Saccharomyces cerevisiae S288C: one gene and its partner. The gene in region 1 interacts genetically with each later gene. Each region holds a gene or a part of one and is shown on either strand. Other genes may lie near its edges.

Evidence for each region.
Region 2: mutations in TPO3 (region 1) and AQR1 impair growth when combined (synthetic growth defect), as found in Saccharomyces cerevisiae (one study listed by BioGRID).

The regions. Positions count from the first base shown.
Region 1 is NC_001148.4:837,153-841,417, forward strand, and holds TPO3 (spermine transporter), read right to left. Parts: upstream 2,626-4,265; coding exon 757-2,625; downstream 1-756. Other genes in the region: NCA2 (Nca2p), read right to left, coding at 1-261; TDA6 (Tda6p), read left to right, coding at 4,114-4,265. UniProt on the Saccharomyces cerevisiae protein: Cell membrane polyamine/proton antiporter, involved in the detoxification of excess polyamines in the cytoplasm. Recognizes spermine, but not spermidine.
Region 2 is NC_001146.8:501,514-505,988, forward strand, and holds AQR1 (Aqr1p), read left to right. Parts: upstream 1-2,210; coding exon 2,211-3,971; downstream 3,972-4,475. Other genes in the region: putative glucosidase SUN4, read left to right, coding at 2-1,264; type I HSP40 co-chaperone YDJ1, read right to left, coding at 4,355-4,475. UniProt on the Saccharomyces cerevisiae protein: Probable transporter that confers resistance to short-chain monocarboxylic acids and quinidine.

The DNA of each region.
Region 1 (4,265 bases):
GTCCTTGCAAATATTGTATAGCAAATCAAAAGGCACCGAACAATAAGAGTCAATATTGTCAGTTTTGATTGAAATGCAGATTTTTTCAACAATTGACCTGATCAATTGTAATTGATCTTGTAACCTACTTAGTTCTTCATTTTCCTCACGTACGTCTTGAATCAATTGTTGCTGTGAATCAAATGCAACCTCTCGTAGTGATTCCTCTAATGAATGACTTATCTCTTCAAAAGATTTCAAAATACGCCTATTGATGATCATTTAAGAATATTAATTAAGGAACCTGCAATTTTGCAATAGGACTATTTTGTTGACTTTGTTGTTATTACTAAGTTTTAAAGTGGAAAAGAATTCCGACCCTTTGTTTAGTGAGTGGGGGTCAATCAAATTCGTATTCCTCGGTCAAATGAGGAGGAATGTAAAAACCGAAAATAAAGTCATCGCATAGGTACAAGAAGAATGAACTTGAGAAGTTCAAATTTCTAATTCAATTTTTTTTTTTTTCTATACATATAAATTAATAAAGTTACTCACGGTTTGAAGGTCAATCAATATATTTGTTTAGGATAGCAATAGATAAAAGAACAATAGAGAAAGAATGTAAAATACGTAAAAATATATGTACATTACTGTCGGATAATGGTTTGAATGCATGTTTGATATGTTTGCTTATGTTTGCTTATGTTTGCTTATGTTTTTATCATTACTACTACTATAATTTTTCATTATTATGCTCGATTCGTAAAATCGTTACTCTTATTCAATACTATCTATGGAATAATCCTTCTTGGATAACTTATGTCTCAAACCTTTGCCCCAGTAAGAAAATGCAAAAGGTAAAGCAATCATAGCAGTGGAGATGAAAGCCAACAACCAAGAACCCCAGTGCAGATTCAATTTGTGGTACATTTGAATGGTAAACAAGGGGAAGGCAGCACCACCGGCGGATCTTAAGAAAACCTTTGTAGCCAGAGCACTGGATGCGTATTGGACGTAGCAATCAATAATGTAATTATTCAATGAATAATAAATCAACACCATACCGAAACCAAAAGCTAAACCAGCTGAAGCTGGACCAACCCAAATAATATGTTTATAAGCGGTAGCACCCAGGATCCATAAAGCAATTGCAGCAAATGGAGCACCGATCTTAGCACCTAGCAAACGATCTTCAGGAGTAGGTTTACGCTGTTTGACAATTTGTAAATACTTGTTTTCACAGTAGAAAGTTGTGGCTAACGCCCAAAGAGCACCGATAACAATAGGAATAAACATCAAACCCACAAGGTTGTCTTTGTAGCCATATAGTTCACCGAAAATGACAGGGAAGGCAAAGAAGAACGCATATAGTAGAGAGTAAATCAAACACACGTAGAAACAAGTAGCAACTAGAACAGGTTCAGTGACAGAGAAGTACAAAGGTCTCAACAGACAAGCCCTCATCATTTCACCCATACTGACACCTTGCGCTTCCTGCTCAGTCATAATCTTGGGATTACCAGTTTCCTTTCTTAATCTAGCAGCCTTTCTCTTCAAGATAACTGGAGCGTACGTTTCTGGGATGGCAGAAGATATGATCCACATAACACCTGCAAAGGCCATATTGACCCAGAAAATCAGGTCCATACGTCCGGTAGAAACGGAAATAAAACCGTTAACTAGTGGACCAACAACGGGACCAACGTAAGGAGCAAAAGCGAAGAAAGCAATAGCCTTACCTCTTGTTTCACTTGGGAACATATCGGCAATAGACCCACCAACTAAACACAAACCAGATGATGACCAAACACCACATAAAAATCTACAAGCTAAAAGACTACCTAGATTTGGAGCTAAGGCGCAAGGGATATTGAAGATGACATAAAGACCCATAGAAACAAAGTAAGCAACTCTTCTACCGTAAAGATCACTAACAGGAGACCAAATCAAAGGACCCAGCGAGAACCCAATAACCATTAAAGAAACCGATAAAATAGCGGCTTCCATACCTACATGGTATTTCTTTTCAACGGTTCCCAACCCACCACTGATACAAGCAGACCCGTAGGCGACACAAATAACTAAGATTGACAGTAGGACAGTGTAACTCCAACGGATCCATGCAGGCCAGTTATGGGGGTTTTCTGGATCGCCAGTCACAAAGGTAACGAATTCAATTTCCGGATCTAGATCTGGAGCTTCGTCATTCGCACCACTAGAGTCGCCTTCTTTACCCTTTTCGTTATTATCACTTTCTAAAGCATCTTCATTAGAAGAAGGCGAAGAAGCGCCATCGATCTGTCTAGTTCTCGTACGGGAAATCGCAGTAGAAGTTCTACCTATGGAATGTAGAGTGGCGACAGGAACTAAACCTGTAGGGGTTTCTAAAGTATATTCTTCAGGAAAAATCTTATTCTTGCTAGATTGAGGAGCATTAACATCAGGAACGGGGGCTTTGGAGCTCACACCCATGTCCTGCAATGACTTCACGGTTTCCGTCCGGGTCAACTTCAGTTGATTAGGAGCCATGTTGGATTTAGATCCACTCTCTGAAGGGATATATTGTTGCGGCTGCTGACTTTCTACATCAGACAACGAAGATGTTTCGTCTGAATTAAACGAATTTATGGATTCCTGTCTGTTCATTTCTGTTTATCTTTGGCTAGAGGAGTACTAATGCAAAATTAAAATAATGAAGTAAGAAGGGAGAAAGTAATTAGTTATATTAGAAAACTAGACCACGAAATTTGTAGTATAATTATGGGTATGACAATTAAAGAATTAGGGTGAACGCTACCGGTGAGGACAAAAAAGGCTGAACGAAGAAGAAAAATAAAAAGAAGATTAGATCAACGCACCTAGACGAAAAAGAGCAAATACTGCTTATTGTATTCACTTTGGAGAACAGGTTGTAACAGGACAGCTGACAATTGCTAAGTTAAGTAGATTACAAAGACAAATGTTCTTAGGCGAAAAGAATATATAAACTAAAAGAAAAAGTGGAAAAAGGGTACGTGTAAAAAGAGACTAGGATGGTTGAGCAGCGAATGATTGCAAGATATATAAAAGAAACGAGCCAGTTTTACAGCGTTTAACGCAGATCCAGAATATGAACAAAATGCATTAGGAAATAAATGAAAAAAATGGCTCTATGGATCAGGGATCATCATGGCTGCCGGAAACTACGCCGTTCTGTTTTGTTTTTGTTTTTCCTTTTTCCCGTTTGGGTGAAATCAGTGAGCTGTTCCGATCCGTTGGGCGAAGACATTGCCGCAGTGACGAAGCCCGGCTAGTCCGATTGGGCTCCAGTAAACCCCTCGCCAAGCACAGAGAAGCTAGTCAGAGGCCCGCTAGACTGTACTTACTGGTCTTTAGCACACGACGACCGTACTTTGCACGTGGCTGCAGACACATTTTGTATGGAGGGAATGCTTGATTATATAAAGAGCTCTGTTTTTATGTTACCCGTCCAACGTTCTCACCCGGCTCCGCGCTATTTTTTTTTTTTTTTTTTTTTTTTTTCAGACCCACACAAAATCCGCGTAGCCGAGATTGCTTATGTATGTTATCATATTGCCTGTTTGAGATATGCAGGATCAGCATAGCATGTCTCTAACCAAATTGTGGGTCAGTCAATTATGTTGCTCTTTTGGGTATACGCTTTCACCGGATTCTCGAGAAATCGTATAATGCATGCCCCAAAGCAGTGGCCGTTCTCGGAAAAATAAAAATAGTTTATATCTCAATTTAGTTATATGGCTATGACGGAAACGACAAAATCAAATTGAAACTTAGAAAAAATAAAAAACAGCGCATTATTAAGGTTTCATGACTCCGTATTCGCTGTCCTACGTGTAAATAGGAAGAAGAAAAAAGTGAAAAAGGAAGAACCCTTCTTTTGAAGGAAAGCATAACTCGTTACTCATACGACGGATGCGAGATATACTCTCTACGTAGTTGTACTAGCCGAATGAAAAAAGAGAAAGTTCCGAATATGTAAAATTGAAATTTCTCTTCTTTATAATAGAACTAACAATTGAACTTTCCTTTTCTTTTGAAGCTACCGTCAATGACAAAGAAGGCAGCTTTGATAAAGTACTCAATAGGTAAAGCAAACTTCAATTCAGTTAGCGAATGCATTGCGTACTAGCGCGAATATTGTTATGGTTCTTAATAGTAGATCTAAGCGTCATACGGGCGCTTGTCCTTCCACCATTGAAAGATTATGATCCGTTAGAGCCTTTGATGAAAAGAGACATGGCCATGGGTCAACGGAACAGATTCAA
Region 2 (4,475 bases), on another chromosome or scaffold:
AATGAAACTGTCCGCCACCACTCTTACCGCGGCTTCATTGATCGGTTATAGCACAATCGTTTCCGCTTTGCCGTATGCGGCTGATATTGACACAGGATGTACTACTACTGCTCATGGTTCACACCAGCATAAGAGGGCCGTTGCAGTTACATACGTTTACGAAACAGTCACTGTCGATAAAAATGGTCAGACCGTCACTCCAACCTCAACTGAAGCCTCTTCTACAGTTGCTTCCACTACTACTCTGATTTCCGAATCTTCGGTCACCAAGTCTTCTTCCAAAGTTGCTTCTTCTTCTGAGAGTACTGAACAAATCGCTACCACCTCGTCTTCGGCTCAAACAACTCTGACATCTTCAGAAACTTCTACTAGCGAATCCTCTGTGCCTATTTCCACATCTGGGTCAGCTTCCACATCTTCAGCAGCTTCCAGTGCAACTGGAAGTATCTACGGTGATTTGGCTGACTTTTCAGGTCCATATGAAAAATTTGAAGACGGTACCATTCCTTGCGGCCAATTTCCATCTGGTCAAGGTGTTATCCCCATCAGCTGGTTAGATGAAGGTGGCTGGTCTGGTGTTGAAAATACTGACACTTCTACGGGTGGCTCTTGTAAAGAAGGGTCTTACTGCTCATACGCTTGCCAACCAGGTATGTCCAAGACACAATGGCCTTCTGACCAACCATCTGACGGCAGATCCATTGGTGGTTTGCTATGTAAGGACGGCTACCTGTACCGTTCAAATACAGATACTGACTATTTATGCGAATGGGGCGTTGATGCCGCTTACGTCGTCTCTGAATTGAGCAACGATGTTGCTATCTGCAGGACCGATTACCCGGGTACCGAAAACATGGTGATTCCTACATATGTGCAAGCAGGTGACTCTTTACCCTTGACTGTCGTTGATCAGGACACCTACTACACTTGGCAAGGATTGAAGACATCCGCGCAATACTACGTTAACAATGCCGGTATTTCTGTCGAAGATGCTTGTGTTTGGGGTTCTTCAAGTTCAGGCGTCGGTAATTGGGCTCCATTGAACTTTGGCGCTGGTTCTTCTGATGGTGTCGCCTACCTTTCTTTGATTCCCAACCCAAACAACGGTAACGCATTGAATTTCAATGTCAAAATTGTCGCCGCTGATGACTCTTCTACAGTCAACGGTGAATGTATCTATGAAAACGGTAGCTTCAGCGGTGGCTCTGACGGTTGTACCGTTTCCGTTACTGCTGGCAAAGCTAAGTTTGTTCTATACAACTAAACTTAGGCGCATCAACAGTTGAGTAAGTTGATTGTATTATTACCCCATTCTTTTCTGCCCGTCCATTTTATTGTCTGTTTAACATACACTAAAACCCACGCCGGATTAATATCAATTTTTTTTTACTTTGTTTCTATTTATCATTCTTCCAGACATAAATTATTTTGTAATATTAAAGACATTTGAAAACCTACATACATCGCACACCTCTTCTTTCATTGTCCTAAAAACCACCCAAAAAAAAAAAAAAGACATCAAATCTCTTTTTTTTTTTTTTGTAGTTCTGTTGCCGTATGCTATCTACTCCTAAGGCTTTTTTCTACTACGGCAATCTATTCACAATGTGCAATTAGGCTAAATGCTAAAAAAAGAAAAAAAAATCCGGAGCCCCTCGATGACTCCTGTTTCCGTTTTATACTGTCCAGCGCAGACCGCACTTCCTACGTATACTTCTTACGGGGAAGGGAGCATACACGAAAACAAAAGGACCCGTAATGACTCGGAAACTCCATAGATCGGTAAATACCGGCTCGTTACCCGTCCTCCATCGGAAAATCTCTCACCGATTTGTTCCGGTATCGGATAATTTATGAATCACCCGGCTTGATGGAACCGTTTTTGTTCCGTGAAATGCCCGGCCTGCATTGTTTTCTTCAGACGAGAAGCCGTTCCAACGTTTCTTTTTCTCGTCACCGGGAAGTTGCGGGCACCTTAGGGCAAGGAAAAAGAAACTTCTCTGCCCTCATCGAGGATACAGTTGATCATACTCAATATTATATAACGCTTAACACTGTCAAGGTTATACACTTTTTACTAACTTTTTATTGCTAATATTGTCGTTCTATATAAAATTATGGATTTTTCCAGGCTTACAAAGTTAGCATTTATACGGAGATAAATTTATTTTTTTGAGAATCCAAGCTAGATTCAGAAAGTCGAATCAGCAATGTCACGAAGTAACAGTATATACACAGAAGATATTGAGATGTATCCTACTCACAATGAGCAGCATCTGACGAGAGAATACACAAAACCAGATGGTCAAACGAAAAGTGAAAAACTAAATTTCGAAGGCGCTTATATCAACAGTCACGGGACTCTATCCAAGACTACCACAAGGGAAATAGAAGGCGATTTAGACTCTGAGACTTCTTCTCACTCCAGTGATGATAAAGTTGATCCAACCCAACAGATAACTGCAGAGACAAAAGCGCCATATACTTTACTAAGTTACGGTCAGAAGTGGGGAATGGTTGCAATTCTAACAATGTGTGGCTTTTGGTCTTCATTGGGATCACCGATCTATTATCCCGCTTTGAGGCAGTTGGAAAAGCAATTTAATGTGGATGAAAATATGGTTAACGTTACTGTGGTTGTGTATCTGTTGTTTCAAGGTATATCTCCCACAGTTAGCGGTGGTCTGGCGGATTGCTTTGGACGGAGACCTATAATTTTAGCAGGTATGCTGATATACGTTATTGCATCCATCGGGCTAGCATGTGCTCCATCATACGGTGTTATTATCTTCTTGAGGTGTATTCAGAGTATTGGTATTTCCCCCACAATTGCAATCAGTTCTGGTGTTGTCGGGGACTTCACTTTGAAGCATGAAAGAGGTACATTTGTTGGCGCCACCTCAGGGTTTGTTTTACTGGGTCAATGTTTTGGTAGTCTTATTGGTGCCGTCCTGACTGCAAGGTGGGATTGGAGAGCTATCTTTTGGTTTTTGACCATTGGTTGTGGAAGTTGTTTTCTAATTGCCTTTCTTATTTTGCCAGAAACAAAGCGAACCATTGCAGGTAACCTTTCCATTAAGCCTAAAAGATTCATCAACAGAGCGCCGATTTTCCTACTGGGCCCAGTTAGAAGGAGATTCAAGTACGATAATCCTGATTATGAGACATTAGATCCCACCATTCCGAAACTAGATTTGTCATCCGCCGGGAAGATCCTTGTATTGCCAGAAATTATTCTGTCTTTATTTCCATCAGGGCTCTTATTTGCTATGTGGACGTTAATGCTTTCCTCTATTTCATCCGGTTTATCAGTGGCGCCATACAACTATCATTTGGTCATTATTGGTGTGTGTTATCTACCCGGTGGTATTGGCGGTTTAATGGGTTCCTTCTTCACAGGTAGAATTATTGACATGTATTTCAAGAGAAAGATCAAGAAATTCGAGCAAGACAAAGCTAACGGGTTGATTCCACAAGACGCAGAGATTAATATGTTCAAAGTCCGTTTAGTTTGTCTTCTGCCCCAAAATTTCTTGGCCGTCGTAGCCTATCTTTTATTTGGTTGGAGTATAGATAAGGGCTGGAGGATCGAATCTATTTTAATTACTTCATTTGTCTGTTCATACTGTGCTATGAGTACATTATCAACATCAACTACGTTATTGGTCGATTTGTACCCAACGAAATCATCTACAGCAAGTAGTTGTTTCAACTTTGTTAGGTGCAGTTTGAGTACCATCTTCATGGGTTGCTTTGCCAAAATGAAAGCTGCGATGACTGTAGGTGGTACTTTTACATTTTTATGTGCGCTGGTATTTTTCTTCAACTTCTTAATGTTTATTCCGATGAAATATGGTATGAAGTGGAGGGAGGATAGATTATTGAAACAACAAAGACAGTCTTGGTTAAACACCTTGGCAGTCAAAGCCAAAAAGGGAACAAAAAGAGACCAGAACGATAATCATAATTAATTGGCATTCTTCAATTTGATAGACACTTATCCCTGCATATTTTTTTTATAAACAGCTTATAGACTTTCATGTAAATTTTTCCTAATTAATGTATTATTTACTTCGTTAATTTTCCGTTGAATTATTGACATGTTAAAGGTGCACTAAATATACCTAATACAAAAAATGGTTTTCTGTGGCAAATATATACAGTGGAAATTTCAGCATATAATCCCTGCTTTACTCTTTCCTTAAGATTTCGTCATAATTAGAACTTTTTTTGGTAAACTGCATTTTCTACCATTATTACTTTACATATGTATAGCTACAAAACTGTATTTTGAAGTGAAAAGTATGATGAATAAATGAATCGTGAATAAGTTGATCTTTTTTTATCAAGAAAATCATTGAGATGCACATTGAACACCTTCGCCACCTTGTTCTTCTTCATCGGAATCATAGTTTGCACCACCCCTGGAGGCCCGTGTTCTGTTGTATTTGGCTGGGTCAAAGTCTGCGAGTACA